2 linked regions of the Lytechinus pictus genome follow. The protein of the gene in region 1 interacts with the protein of each later gene in a pairwise test. Links are inferred from orthologs where the notes say so. Each region holds a gene or a part of one and is shown in the gene's direction. Other genes may lie near its edges.

Evidence for each region. The genes of interacting proteins can lie anywhere in the genome.
Region 2: the proteins of ras-related protein Rab-2A (region 1) and TBC1 domain family member 16-like interact in a two-hybrid assay, tested with the Drosophila melanogaster proteins (2 studies listed by BioGRID). The link is inferred for Lytechinus pictus from reciprocal best matches to the Drosophila melanogaster genes Rab2 and TBC1D16.

What each region holds. Positions count from the first base shown.
Region 1 is NC_087246.1:65,086,573-65,094,559, reverse strand, and holds the start of ras-related protein Rab-2A, read left to right. Parts: upstream 1-4,983; 5' UTR 4,984-5,066; coding exon 5,067-5,112; intron 5,113-7,302; coding exon 7,303-7,374; intron 7,375-7,987. UniProt on the Drosophila melanogaster protein: May be involved in bidirectional endoplasmic reticulum (ER) to Golgi trafficking. Together with Rab7 involved in promoting fusion of autophagosomes and endosomes with lysosomes, probably through recruitment of the HOPS tethering complex.
Region 2 is NC_087254.1:28,667,099-28,674,079, reverse strand, and holds the start of TBC1 domain family member 16-like, read left to right. Parts: upstream 1-3,878; 5' UTR 3,879-3,972; coding exon 3,973-5,268; intron 5,269-6,981.

The sequences.
Region 1 (7,987 bases):
ATTGGCGGCGAAAGTCAAAAAAATTAGGGGGGGGGTCCACCTGAAATTTTGTGATGGACACAGGTAAAAAAGTTGACAAGCAAAAAAAAGGTTATCAACAAAAAAATTAGGGGGGCCGTCCCCCCCACCTCAAATTTAGGGGGGACAGGACCCCCGTCCCCCCCCCCCCCCCCCCGCGCTTCCGCCGCCTATGGTTACTATTAACAGCGACGAGACCCATGATGTCACCCCAACCGTCTTCTGAAAAAAAATGTTCAGTTATTCAATAGTGTATTTATAGCCGACAAAGTAGCACGTACTTTCGGTGTCGCTTTCGGGGGGCGCTGAACAAAGAAAAAACAAAAGGGGAAAGAAAGAGAAATAAGGAGGGAAATTAAGAAATAATCAAAAGTTGAATGTAGTGAACAACCGAAGAAGTCTCATGTGCCAAAACTAATTAAAAAAATGAAAAATATAAAAACACACTAGATAAAGTCGCGATTAAAGTGGTACTCCGGGTTGAAAGTGTATATTTAAACAGATGACGAAAACTTAGACAAACTAAGCACTGAAGATTTCATCAAAATCGGACGAGGAATAACAAAATTATGACAATTTGAAGATCTGCATTAGTATATATAAATGAGCAAATTGATAATGTCATATATATCCTAACTTGATCTCATGTTCTTTTGTACTATTTGAAATGATTTGTCCTGCAAGAATGACAAAAAATTGGATTGACAATTGATTCAATGCATTGGATAAAAAAAATGTTTAAAGGTGCAGGATTTCAGTCTTTCTCCGGGCTTCTATGCATTTATGTGGTAAATCCATAGAAATACAAGTTTATTCTAACTAGGGGTTATGAATTATCCGAATGGATAAAGCTCCAAGAACCTTTAACGTGTCTGTCGATAGAGGTCAGTATGCAAGAAATCTTGGGTGGTTCGTGATCATGGCCCACTTCTCTCTATGATTACCCTGTTACTGATCGGAAACTAGACTCAACTTCAACAACAGACTTTAAAAAAACTTTAAAAACATCAGCAAGTAATAATGTCTAAACGATTTCAACTTAATATTTTCGGTGTAATTCTAAATAGGATGAAGACATGGGTAATCATGGTAACGCAGCAATACATTTCTTTGCATTTTTGCCAATACCTCGTGGGTCATTCGTATTTGTAAGAGCATCTTTGTTCAATTTCAATAATTGATTAGAATGAAGGTCTTTTTGCATAGCTTGCCTACATTCATGAATTATTTTACTGTTTCATTTTTAAGCAATGTCTTTATAGAGCTAAACTGGTTTAGTGTTTTAGTTAAACAATGAAAGGGGTATTACTCTAGGTTGAAGATCATTATATCTAAATAAAAGGGATAAATAAATGAGCAAAGTGCAAAAAAAAAATCATCGAAATCCGAAGAAAGACAATGTAGTCATTGAATATTGAAATATGTGGTCATAATTCATCAGGCGGTCTGATGATACCATGTCTCCATTTCCCCTTTTGTTATTTCATATTCTCACAAATAAGTGTAAAACATATATACATTTCAGTAATAAGCTAACATAATTATTCAATAGTCAAACTTGTTTCATGGAGGGTAGCCTAAACTTTGATTAATTATAATTTCGAATATCATGATACAAAGATGAATGATATAGGGCCTAGGGTTTTGACATCCCTCATTGCATATTCACGTTGACATGCACATGATGTAATTATTTTGCCCAAATTAGGCTCTAAAACAAACATGCGCAACCAAGGTTTAAGAGTCATGCTGAACTTAAGTGAAATAAACAAAAAAAATGTATCGAAATGGAAGTCTAAAGCTTCAAATTCAAGAACCTAAATTAAAATAGTGTTAGATAATTGACATGTAAAACAATTCAATCCAGTCAGCAGTTTCCCAAACTTGTATAAGGGGACCGAGGAACAGTTTTGAAGGGGCCGGGTGCTGAGCCATAAGATGGAGTAGAGGGTACTATATAGGGAATGGCCATACAAGAAAAAAAAACGATATTATCGATAGTATTTTACGTTTTATTCACGTTTATTGAAAAAAAAGTTCCATGCCCCTGCCAGAACAGCCATGCAACTCATAAATCAAGTCACCACACAGGTCATTGGTCTCATCGTTGTCAATCTATAGCTATACCTTCATGTACATATCCAGCAACCCAAAAGCTTATATTTTTTATGAATTATTTTTATTTTATTTCAAAATTATAATATTAAGAATTTATCGATAGTATTTCCATGATCTTCTCTTATAAATCTTAATAGTTGTATTCTAATAATTTACAGGATTCAAGATTTGTTCTTTACGTATGTGATACAACCATACAAAAAATGGTGAATTGATTTTAGGTTGTACGGCTTTTCAATGTTTATATTTAATTGAAAATATTATTACGCATGTGTATAAATGTAAGATAAAAAAATATATTCCTTGGAAAACAAATGATTATGAAATCAATCTTGTTTGGAAAAAAAATGTATATCAGGTATTTTGAGAACAAATTGAATTGATATAGAATTTATTCTTGACATTGTTTTACTTCATTTTCGTTAAGAATTGTCAAAAGTATGGATGTGTTGATCACAATTATTGTAAGTTCAAACCAAGCTTTGTAATTATGGTCAATTTGATTTAATACCGTATTGAATTAATGATCATGAATGTAATATTTTACTATGTTAAAATTTGTTTGATGAGAGAAGAGAATAAAATATTATTTTAAAAAGAGGGGACTTAGGAGTAATATCTACAATTATTATTTTTATTTCAAAATATAGAAAGACTACATCGTATATCAAATGCAAAATTTATTTCGGAATTTCAAGTAAAACTCAAAATATCAGCAAATTAAAAAGAGCATAATAAAGAAAAATCGTAAAAATTACCACTTAGTCCCTTCTTGCGGGAAGCTGACGTGGGTGAATGGAAATGTGTAGTCCTAAGTTGTTTTGGGTTTTCTTTTTTCCACGGGCATCTATATATAATATACAGTGCGTATTAAAAAAAACGGGACAGTTTTGAAAAGTCTATAAAAAATTTGTTTCAATTTATGACATCTATGTTTTAATGTTAATAGATGCTCTGAAATCTTATCTTTAAAATGCCATTCAAAAAACAAATTTTGTTCATGCTTGAGCGAACACGGGACGTTTTTGTAAGGGGTTCAAAAAGAGGCTTGCGCCAAAATGGCAGAAATGAGATATTTGATTATCAGACATCTTGCTAATCAGCAGACTTCCTCTTAACCTTTTCATTTTCTTTGCCACGATTTTCGAATTGTGCTGTCAAATTTCATTTACAAATTCATTTATTTACTTGAATTATTTTTTTTTCATTTAAACTTGTTTTACCTTTGAATTTTCCTTCATAAGTAAGAAAAGAAGACTTTTTGTCAACCCAAGCAAGAAGATTATTTGGGAAAACTTGTAATTATTCATATCATTTTATTATGTGAAACGAATTATGTTCTGGCACCTTTGAAAAAACATGAATCCTATTTTCAGGGGGTTATTGATTCCTTGACCAAGTTTAATTATGTGATTGACAGGACCATATATAGGTCCATTACAGGACAAACAGGTAAGGATTCATGTCTTTCAATAGCAACGATGTATTGAGTCAATTTTGAAGGAGCTAGATATGGCAGATCGGATAAAATGTATCAAAAAGTTGTGAGCGAGCGAAGCGGGCAAGCAAAAATTTCCACTTTTTTATTAAAATATCAAATTTTGTGATAGATTTTGACATAATATTCAAAAAATAATCATGGTTCACTTTTTATCTTCCCTTTTATTTCCTTTCCATTTTTTTTTTTATTGAAGGGGGGCACCCCCGAGCCCCCGCCAATCTGCATGCCACTGTTCAAAGGCACCATAACCTTTGTAGTACACAACGAAAGGATTTTTAAAAAAATACATGCTCTCCCATACTTCGGTTGAAATTTTTTTTTTTGCTTAAAGAAGGAATATTCAAAGCTAAAAGAGAACGTATTGAAATGTAACAGGAACAGAACAATTGAGGCAAATAAACAAATTTGAAAATGAATTTTGACCGCATAATTCGAAAATTATGGCAAAGATAATGAAAAGGTTAAAAATCTATTGATTAGCAAGAAGTCCGATCATCGGCATGTTATGCCATTTTGGCGCAAGCCTCCTTTTTAACCCCAGACAAAAACATTCCGTGTTTGCTCAAGCATGAACGAAACTAATTTTTTAATGGCATTTGAAAGATAAGACTTCAGAGCACCTATTAACACTAAAATATAGACATCATAATTTGAAACAAAAATTTTATAGACTTTTCAAATCTGTCCCGTTTTTTTTAAAACGCACTGTATACACGTACTATTCTTATTTCAGGCGTACAGTACAGGTGACATAAAACAAATTTGCCTCGTATAACCATGTGCTTTGTATATGACTATTTGAATGTTTTGCACTGTTTTTTTATGCATTGGCTTTAAAATTATATCCACCTAATTTCGAACAGAAAACAAATAAAGATCAGATTAATTATCATTCAATATTTATAGCCAACATGTTCATGATCTGTGCGGGTATAAAACCTTACCCAAACAGCCAAATCATAATTTGTTTTCAATTCTCTTTATTATCCTTTTAATAAATAATGTAAACGCCAGGGGGTTTATTGCACCAAATCGGGCACCAAATACAATACTGTATTTCTAATAGACCACTATTGCTATTTGACAAGTTCATCATATGGAAATGTAAAATACTAGCATATGGTGACTTGACTTTAATTACCCAACTGGTTTCGCTCATTACGTTTTTCTTTGTTCTCTTTGTCGCCAGTCTCATGAGACCGAATGTCATAGTCTATTCCTACAGGAGAAGACGTTTTAGCGCTCAAAAATCTATAATTTGCAATTTTCGCATCGTGCAGAATGAATGTAAACAAACAACAAATTGGGATTTAATGATTGTGCGCAGGCGCAATGCACTATGTTCACGTTGAACCGTCTAGTGACGTCATAAACCGAACACAGCCTGGGAGTTGTATTCTGCACAGAAAATCACGATTTTTCCATCAAAATGTCGTACGCATATTTATTCAAATACATTATTATAGGAGATACAGGTAAGGTTGATCATTTTATTTTACTTGGTTGATTTTTAAACTAAAACACTTGTGTAATTGACGGTTTAAATGTCGAGCCCCACTGCATTTGTAAATTTCGTAGTTGAAATGAAGACGAGAAACGCATAACGTTATCGTTGCAATAGACATGCACATGATGCTAACCAAATTGGCAATGCATTGACATTGTGATCCATTGCCAATGCAAGATTGCAATGGCCAATGCCATGTAATCTGGATGCCTACCAAGTTGCATGGGTTTCCAACCCTTCTGTAAGTGTAATCATCATGTTTTACTTTTGGTAAAATTGATGGGTAGACAGCTGGCAGCCGTCTGTTCCGAGGAGTTTTTAAACATTTTTATTTATTTTTATTTCTCCTCGTACACAGACGGCTCGCTATCGTGCAGCCACCATTTAGGGACTTAACATTCCCGGAGGGGGGGGGGGGGGTACTCGACTAAAAAGTGGTAGGTATAGTGAGACCACTACCGGTACATATCGACCACCTCTTTTGAAACCGACCACCTTGCGCGCATTAAAATTATTGCGTATTACTATTACAAACGATACGCGTGGGAGAGTAGGCGCAGTGTCCATAGGAACGGTAAGAATCAATTTTACGAGAGAAAAAGAAGGGGGAAAAGGTGAAAATTTAGGAGAATCTATCAAAATTGTTTTGACTACAGACTAGACCCGAACCCGCCCCGTTTCCGAAACGGCTTTACCTTTAGAACAAATATCCGTCGTCAATCGTCGAATCATGTGCCGGAGCTCGCAGTGGAAGTAGTGAGACGATCATTTAGCATGTGGACTTCATAGAAATGATCTGGAAGAGTCAAAATATTTCGCCACCGCGACAAAAATCGGCCGTAACTTAGTGTATCGCGGGTGGTCGGTTTCAAAAGAAGGGTGCAAATGAGCAAATGTAAAACCGTCGTATTTGTTGTTCGCCGATATATACGCGAATTGAATCGGAGTTGCTGATCGAAACATGGGAATCTGATCTGCTCAATTTTCTGCACAAATGAAATGAAAACTAGGTTAATCTGATAAATATTTTCGCAGATTCGATGCTTAGAAAATTAGGTGGTCAGTAGAGGCGCACGGCCAATATTGGAGACTGTCTCCAATGTGGGAGATTATCTCCAATATCAGAGACTTTTGTAAAGAATTTAGGTATCCAATTTCAGAGACAGTCTCCAGTTTTGGGGTCCAATTTCCTTTGTTTACATTTGCTGCAAAAGGATTAACTTGGCGGCAAATAAAAATGTGATAAGCAGATTCCTCATGAAAAATTACCCCTTTTCACCGTCTACTTTAAAAATTCACCGTCTACTTTTGTTTTGATAAGGATTTTTGTTGTCAATCACACACAAAACAAATGGGCTTCTGACCTCAGTGAGACAAAATGTTGGGTGGAAAAAATCATGCTTTTGTTGGTGTTGTTTCTTTTGTCCTTTTGCAAAGCAAGTCTCCAATGTGGGAGATTGTCTCCCCTATTGGAGAGAGTCTCCCATATTGGCCGTGCGCCTCTACTGGTGGTCGATATGGTGTAGTTACAACCATATGTGCCGCGGGCGAGACAAATAACGGGGGCTCTGGAGCAGGCTTCTTGTAAAAAGGAGGGTCCTCGGAACGGGCTTTGGAGCTACAAATGTTTGTGAAAACAGGGATCCTTGGAACGGGTCGCCTGTGTGTGAGTGCGTATGCTTCCCAATGCCATGGAACGGGCTTACGTGCATGTACCTCGAGCGATGTTCGTGCAGGCTCCACTTCACTACCGCTACACATCGCTCCACCTGCCCGAACGAGTGTCAAAGGTGGGATTTTATGGGGGGAATATAAAATTCATGCAACATCACAATCTTTAAAAACAATTAAAACTAATATTCTTACTTTACACAAAGTCTCACTTCTTTCCCATGCTTCTATCAGTCTCAAAATTGGTGATTTAGAGCCAACATGAAGTTCCTCACACGTATAAATAATTCGCTGCCGATTTCAAAACATCGCATGCACAAGGGTCTCTGCATGCGCGAGGGTCCGAGACCCTCGCGCAATGAATAAAGGTGTGTAGTGAGCAGTTTTGTATAATCAGCATGTCGTTCCTTTATAAAGCAAAAATAAAAGAAATGTGATGCAATGATAAAATTATTATGCATTCTTTTACATTTTATTCCATTAACAGGTGTTGGTAAATCCTGCCTCCTTCTCCAGTTCACAGATAAACGATTCCAGCCAGTCCATGATCTCACAATAGGTATGTCAACTCTTTAATAAGAATGCATTTGCAGTCGGTTTATAAAGAATACTCAAGGAATGAAAAAAATCGGGGGGGGGGGGGGTTACAAATATATAATATAAGTCACACTGACATGTAAATTTCCAGTTATATGTGGTAGGTTTATACCATAATGCATCACCGCATTAGGGACACTCCATATTACTCAATGTGATTATGCATTAAAGCCTGTCCTTTAGCTTTGATAAAGTGTCAGTTGTTGAATGAATATTTTACCCAAGTTACAATTAAGATATGGCATTTTTATGGCCATTAGGATATGAATTGAAATCTAGCACCCCCCCCCCTTTCATTGGTAATGTTTTTATTTGAAATATCTGTTTGAGCACTTCATACATTTGATAATTGGATATTGGATAGCTTCTGACAAAAGATTGTATATATGGCGATGTGTCATGAGTTCGCTCACCAAAAAGGGTGGTGCTGTTAATACATATTTTGATTAATTTGTTGAGTTATTTTTTCAAACCAAAGTAGCTTTGCCAACAAGTTTGGTATCATTTTAAAGCTGGATCCATTGGCTAATAATGTAGAAAATTTCATTGCTCTAGGATAGATAAAACTTGAGTTA
Region 2 (6,981 bases), on another chromosome or scaffold:
CACATCTAAAACATCTGGTCATGTGACTCATTAATATTAATGAGTATGTAAATAGCTGCCAATGTTATGTACCTGTGTATAGAGTTAATCAGATGACAATAAAATCAAATTATGTCATCACAAATAGTCAAAATACATTGCTATATTACACAGTGAGTGAATAAATATTGATAAAAATATGTTAGGAAATAATTTAGGCTCTGATTTTGTTTGAGAAATAAAAAAGTAAAATTCTAGCTAACTTTTTGAATTACTTACTACTTTCTCAACCTTATTTTTTTGTACATAATAGGTGCATATCTCAAATTTTCATTTCACAGGATGTTGACTATAGCAATGCTTTGCTATTGGCCTGTTGGGACATGGGCACTGATAAGGTCCTACTAAAATGTGTCAATATTTTCGTGCGTTGATAAATTCGCGGCCGATCCGCAATTCGCGAAATCTACGAAAATAGTATCTTTCATGAATGATATCACACTGAAATCAAATTGTGAAAAATGACCCAACACATTTTCATAGTCTTTTGATAAGGAATTTATCTTCTTGGGAACAGAAAAGTTTGCAGAACTGTTTTCTATTTAAAAACAAAAATTGCCCATATATGCTCTGAATTGTGTTTGAGTTGAATTAATTTTCCATAAACATAACATACTTTTCTAATAAAATATTTTTTATCAGAGATAAAGTGTCTCAAATGCTAGACTATGCCATTCTCCTACCTGGCGCCGTGCGATGCATTCATTCAATATTCATCATTTAAAAGCAAAATGGGTTTGAGCTGGTGAGTGGTGAGCATCAAGTATCATCTCCCCTCGTTCATCCGCAAATCTATATTATAAGCAAATCATCAATTATTATATGGAAGAGGAATTGATTGTGTGTTACAGTGGTTAGACATGAATACTACAATAGAACTGATATTCAATTCAGAAAGTTGTCTCCATTTGAAAATTGCTTCTCAACGGGATGCTGTGACATCTGTTTGAAGCTAGCAGAGCATCTGTTTGGGAATGTATGGATCTTGCGATACAGCCAATACATGTACAGTGTATATGTGATTTTGAGCAATTTGGATATCGCATTAAAATCCAGAGTTTCTGATCAAGGATAGGAATTTGTACTTTGGGTCATCATTGATCATCCTTTCAGTGCAGTTCTCTTTACATCAATTTTTTTCGAAAAATAAATATTTCACTTTCACAATATTTGGATTAATTTCTTTTACTTCTGTTTCTCGGTGTGTATCATAAATATTAGGTGAGTGAAGTTGAATATATGTTTTATTTACTCACCTTGGTTTATCATTTTGATGATTCCTTCTGTCCTTTCTTCCCCTTCATTTATTCATTGACTGACGGACGGACAGACTCATTCAGTCATTCATTTCACCATTACAGAAACATCAATAACATTGACCTGACAATTTGACAAGTAAATTTTAAAAACCATCTCATCTCAGCCCTCATGCACTGCTGTGTGACATACACTGTCCATTTTCACTAAAAATAACAATGTCATTTTCAACTTAATTTTGAATTTGCTAATTGTTAAGAATTTTCATTTTTTTTCTTTTTTATCCCCTTCCACAGGGTTCTTTATTTTCAAAAAGCATAATTACACTGTATAAACATTTCAAATTTTTTTTCAGAAAAACAGTAAATAAACATGGTATATACACAATTCCTAATAAATAGCCATTCAGTCAACCTGACCTATTATACAATCAATAAGTTGTGACAGCCAAAGCAAATTTGGCAAGAAAAATAAGAGATATGATACATATATCTAAGAAATAAACATTGGTAATAATTATGTTTGTTAAACTTAAAGGTGACAGATTGCCAGCTTGTTCGAAAAAGTTTCTGAAACGTCCATGATTTTATACAATTGTACACTGTATGTGGTGTACAATATGTATTTGTAAACAACTGAATATATCAAATGACCCTATTAGGCCTGGTTATTAATGGTCATAAAGAATGCAAATGGTATTACCTTACAAGTGAATGGTACTTAATAATGCAGAATGAAAATGAAAATAGGACAACTTAATTTATGTGACCTATTTTCTACTGGATTATGAATGTGTACGCCCTATAAAAACAGTTATGATTTGGACTACAAATTTTTGCAATTTTTCATGAATATACACTCGGCAAAAAAAGTTCTTGGACACTTAGAAAACTTTAAAATTTTCATATAGATATTTGATTAAAGGCAAATTATTGTATGTCAACATGACCAGACAATATTCCTCTTCCAGTATGACATGACATTTTCATGTTAACAGTCATGCATGGGCGGTTAAATGCTTTAAACAATAGCAATGTCAGTAAAAGAAAATTGCAAGAAATGGATCAGTCAGTGCATGGCTGGTTACAGGCATTAAACAATAGCAATGTCAGTAAAAGAAAATTGCAATAAAACAATCAGTCATTCTTTCAATTGTGAAAGGTTATGTGGCATAAATATCCATTAAATTATAAAAGCAAACTTAAAGTCAAATACCACTCTAAAAGAGAAGAGAAAGTTATCCACCTTGGATGCATCACTATTCCACTGGAATTTTAAGTCAAAGTTAGTCGATGAAAAAAATGTCAAATTTCAGTATCTTGGCATAAGCAAAAGAAAATTCAATATCTCGTTTGTCCACACTGGCTCTGAATGAGTGCAGCACATTGACGTCGCATGCTTGTCACAAGTCGACGAATTTGCTCTGGGGTGATTTTGTCCCATTCTTCCAGGAGATAACACCGGACATCTTGAAGAGGGTCTCCTGGTTGAATTCTTTGATTGACCGATTTTCCTAGCTGATCCCACAAGTGTTCAATCTGGTTCATGTCTGGTGAACAAGCGGGCCATGGATCCAAGCGCTGAACATTGTGGTCATCCAGAAATCTTTGGACAATGTTTGCTCGATGGGGACAACCCCCTGTTGAAATTGTTGAATGTATGCCTACAGGATGGCCATGATCATTAGCTTTTGAATGGTCCATTTCTTGCAATTTTCTTTTACTGACACTTCTATTGTTTAAAGCATTTAACCGCCCATGCATGACTGTTAACATGAAAATGTCATGTCATACTGGAAGAGGAATATTGTCTGGTCATGTTGACATACAATAATTTGCCTTTAATCAAATATTTATATGAAATATTTTAAGTTTTCTAAGTGTCCGAGAACTTTTTTTGCTGAGTGTTTATTTTAATCCGTACTTGGTGACATCTGATCATGCATTTTCTTTTTAAAAAGAATTCTATATATCATAGAATAGGCTGAAATTTCAGGAGATGATTATCTATAGATTTCTGATAAGCGCTCACTATCAATTTTATTAAAGATAAATGCAAGAGCCTGTTGAAAAGGAAATAGAAATATTGTCAAAAGAGGGTGTAGAACTATGAAACAATGTCAAATTTTAATTCTAATGGTTGAAAAATCAATTTATGTCCACCTCACTTTATTAGGAATGTTAGATGATACTAGAGTATATATTAACCCTTTATCAAAGCTTTAGCTAAGCTTTCAATGATGAATACATTTTTATGCATGAAAATACTGGTCTTTTCCCAGATACATGTCTACTGCAGCTGCCATAAAAAGATGGATGAACTTTTCAAAAGCAAATGAGATAGAAACCTGAAAAAGCCATAAATTGCTTATTATATAATCGAATTCCCAAATTCATGGGGAAATTAAAATGATAATAAATGTTCTGTGTAAAGTCTAGGATGTGACCTGCATATCATGACATGTAATGGTAAAATTTACCCTTTTTACTCTACATGTGCATGCCATGCCCCCTGAAGTTGTTTCAATTACATGTACATGCTAATTTAAATGTATGTCTCTGAATCCTTTTTTCTTTTTACAGATTCTGAGGCTTAAAAACAAACATTCCTGAAGTTGGGAATATTCCATGTAGTACAACTTGATGAAGTGTTGAGTTTGAAAGACTGTCTGCCGTCATGGCCTACCTCCTGAAGAGGTTTAGTGACTTTCTTGGAATATCCGACCCTGAATATGTGAGAGCGCCCCCACTGGATGGAGAAATAATCTTCTGCAAGAACAATGTGTGCGTGCATCCGCCATCCGTGCTGTCAACCACCGTGGAGCACCATCCAGGATACCTTACAATCCGTGCCCAGAGGGTCTCTGAAAGACAGACATCCCTTGTGCTCACATGGATCCCAAACACATCCTTGAACCAGAGGAAACGCTCCAGCTGCAGCACCAGCAGTCCCGCCAGAGTGACCTATGTGGATATCCGCAAGCAAATTGCTTTGAGGAATGAAGCCCAGTTGGACAATGTCAGTGGTGATAGCCTGAGTATATTGTCAAAAGAGGAGGAGGCTGTGAGGGAGAATGCCTGTAAAGAAAAGACAAAGGAGTCTTGTCGGAATGAGAGCCCTCAAGGATCGATTCAAAGCTTCCAGGACTCTGGGATTGGAGAGGGAGAACGTCAAAAAATGGGTAAAGACAGTGGTGTTGATGGTGCATCAGGGAATGAAGCTTGTAATAAAAATGATGCGGATAACAAGACAGTTGAAGGCCACAAAGATGAGGTTTCATCTGAAAGTGATGAGCTGTCAACAGAACAGAGACTTGCAGCTCTGCTGAACAGTCCAGGGGATAACCATAGCCCAGTGGGTCGGCCAATTAAATTGGAGCTCCAGACCAAGATGAAGGTTCACCCACCTAAAGATGATGAAGACAAGGACAGTGTCAGTAGTTCCGATTCAGATGACTCCGAGACCTTCAACAACATCCTGGAACGCCTCTCCAACGACGTCCTTCCAAGGCAGATGTCCCGTCGCTCCAGTTCTACAACTCCAACCACCTCCAACCAGGACCCATCCTCCTTGCCTTCCACCCCTAGCCCTGATGAGAGCTTTGATCCCTTTGTCCCGCTCTACAGCCTCCATAGCAGTTCAACCTGCAGCCCCGAGATCCACCCATCTCCGATCGCCACCCACAACCTGACCTTCCCTGAGAACTCTGTGTGCTACCGTGGCAAGGTCATCTGTCCTGGTTCCCCTGCCAGTGCTCCAGCCAGGGACCAAGTCTGTGGAGTGTTTTCAGTTGACCTGTGCCAGATGAGGTCCTTGAGAATCTTCTTTGCGGATGAGGAGTGTACCAACGGACAGATGGTCATCGCGAGTCGAGAGAGTCAGTACAAGATACTGCACTTTCATCATGGTGGTCTGGATAAGATGACCGAAGTCTTTGATCATTGGAAGAACTGCATCAAACTTTACAATCAGGTTAGTGAGAAAAAAAAATTCATTCAGTTTCAAGTTCTTGATTTGAAAGTTAGTCAATGTACAGTCAAAGTTTAGATAACAATTCCCATCCCCCCAGAAATTTTTAGTAAATAAGATTGGAGGGAAACCATGAACTGAATTGTAAAAGTGCAATTTTATGAAGACAAATATTGGTTCAATGCTTCGTGTCCTTTAATTTCATACTCATATTTAATAATATGCTGAGCACTATCAAACTAGCACTTTGTCATTTTAGGAAGTTTCCCTCACATACAATACATGTGCAATTTGGTGGATTCATAATATGGTGCGCCATCTATCAGTTGCAGCCGACAGTCCAAAATTCGCAATACCTAATGGGAAAAAGTCAACATCTGTTGCGTGCTATTGCTAGTGTATGCATGTGATTATGCTGTTTACTAGGGTTCAGGAGGAGGGAGAGAAATTTGCTGCATATTTCTTTGCTAAAATTAAAACCGTTTTTGGTGAATTCTTCCTTCACTGTTGCCAAATCATTTTCATTTTTGAAGCATCACACACTGTGCGCTGTCTGCGCCTGCGCGCGATGTTGACCCCGAAGTTAGAAATTTGGCCTGTCCGCTGCAACGGATAGATGGCGCACCATATTGTGAATCCACCGAATTAATTAAACTGTATAATCCAGTAATACTGGGTAGTTGTTTTTTACATTTCACTATAGGTTCACAAAATGCATATCGCATTACTCCACCTCTGCTATATGTGCTGCTCATGGTGTAAACTTGAGATCTATAAAAGCATTTTTTTTAAGTACTGTATTTGCTGTCGAAATGCCAGGGCTAAGGCACCTCATATTGGCTGGTTATTAATTCATTACAACCAATCATGTGCATAGATACAGTGTAGGTAGAGAGCTGTGAAGTGAGTCCCAGTCTGCCCTCTGCTCATTACCACGCTACAAAGGCCTAAGTTCTCGCTATTGGATTTCCAATTTCCTATCTGATCGAACATCACCTTTTTTTTCTACTAATATCTTTATCCACATTCCTCTGTATGTATGTCTCTTTCCATCTCTTTTTTTTTCTTCTCTTGTTCTGTATTTCTTTCCCTATTGTGAATCAAAGCTACGGTACATGCCATTTTCTCTCCATCACTATTCGCTTCCTTTCTATCGCTTTCCCTTGTATCTGACACTTTCTGTTTCTAGATATTTCTTTTACTTTTAATGTGTGTGTGTTACATTTATGTGTGTATGTTTCTCTCTCTCTCTCTCTCTTGTCCTTTTGTGGTATTGTGCTCTTTCTATATTCCTTTCATCCTTCCTACATTCCTTACTCTCTTTCTCACCCCTGTCCCCTTTTTCTTTCTCTACCACCCCCTTCCTCTCCTCCAGCTCTCTACTCTGTAAATCACTCTCCTATATCCTTCCCTCTTCCCTCTCAGTCTCTTCCCCTCTCTTACCTATTGCCACCATATCTTGTATAGCCTTCTTTTCTCCATCTGCACGTATGCCATTGCCATGCTAATACCACACTCATCTCTTTTAGAGGTGTTTGACTGTGTGGAAGTGGTTCATATGTACACCTACTATGCATGCTAATAACATCATTAAATCTTAATTTAGACAGCCAATTAATTGATCTCTACAATGTGGATTTTATATTAATTAATGTCTATTGCTCAATCCGAATCTGCATTATTCACCGCAGTAGGCCATTTGATTCGAACACTGTT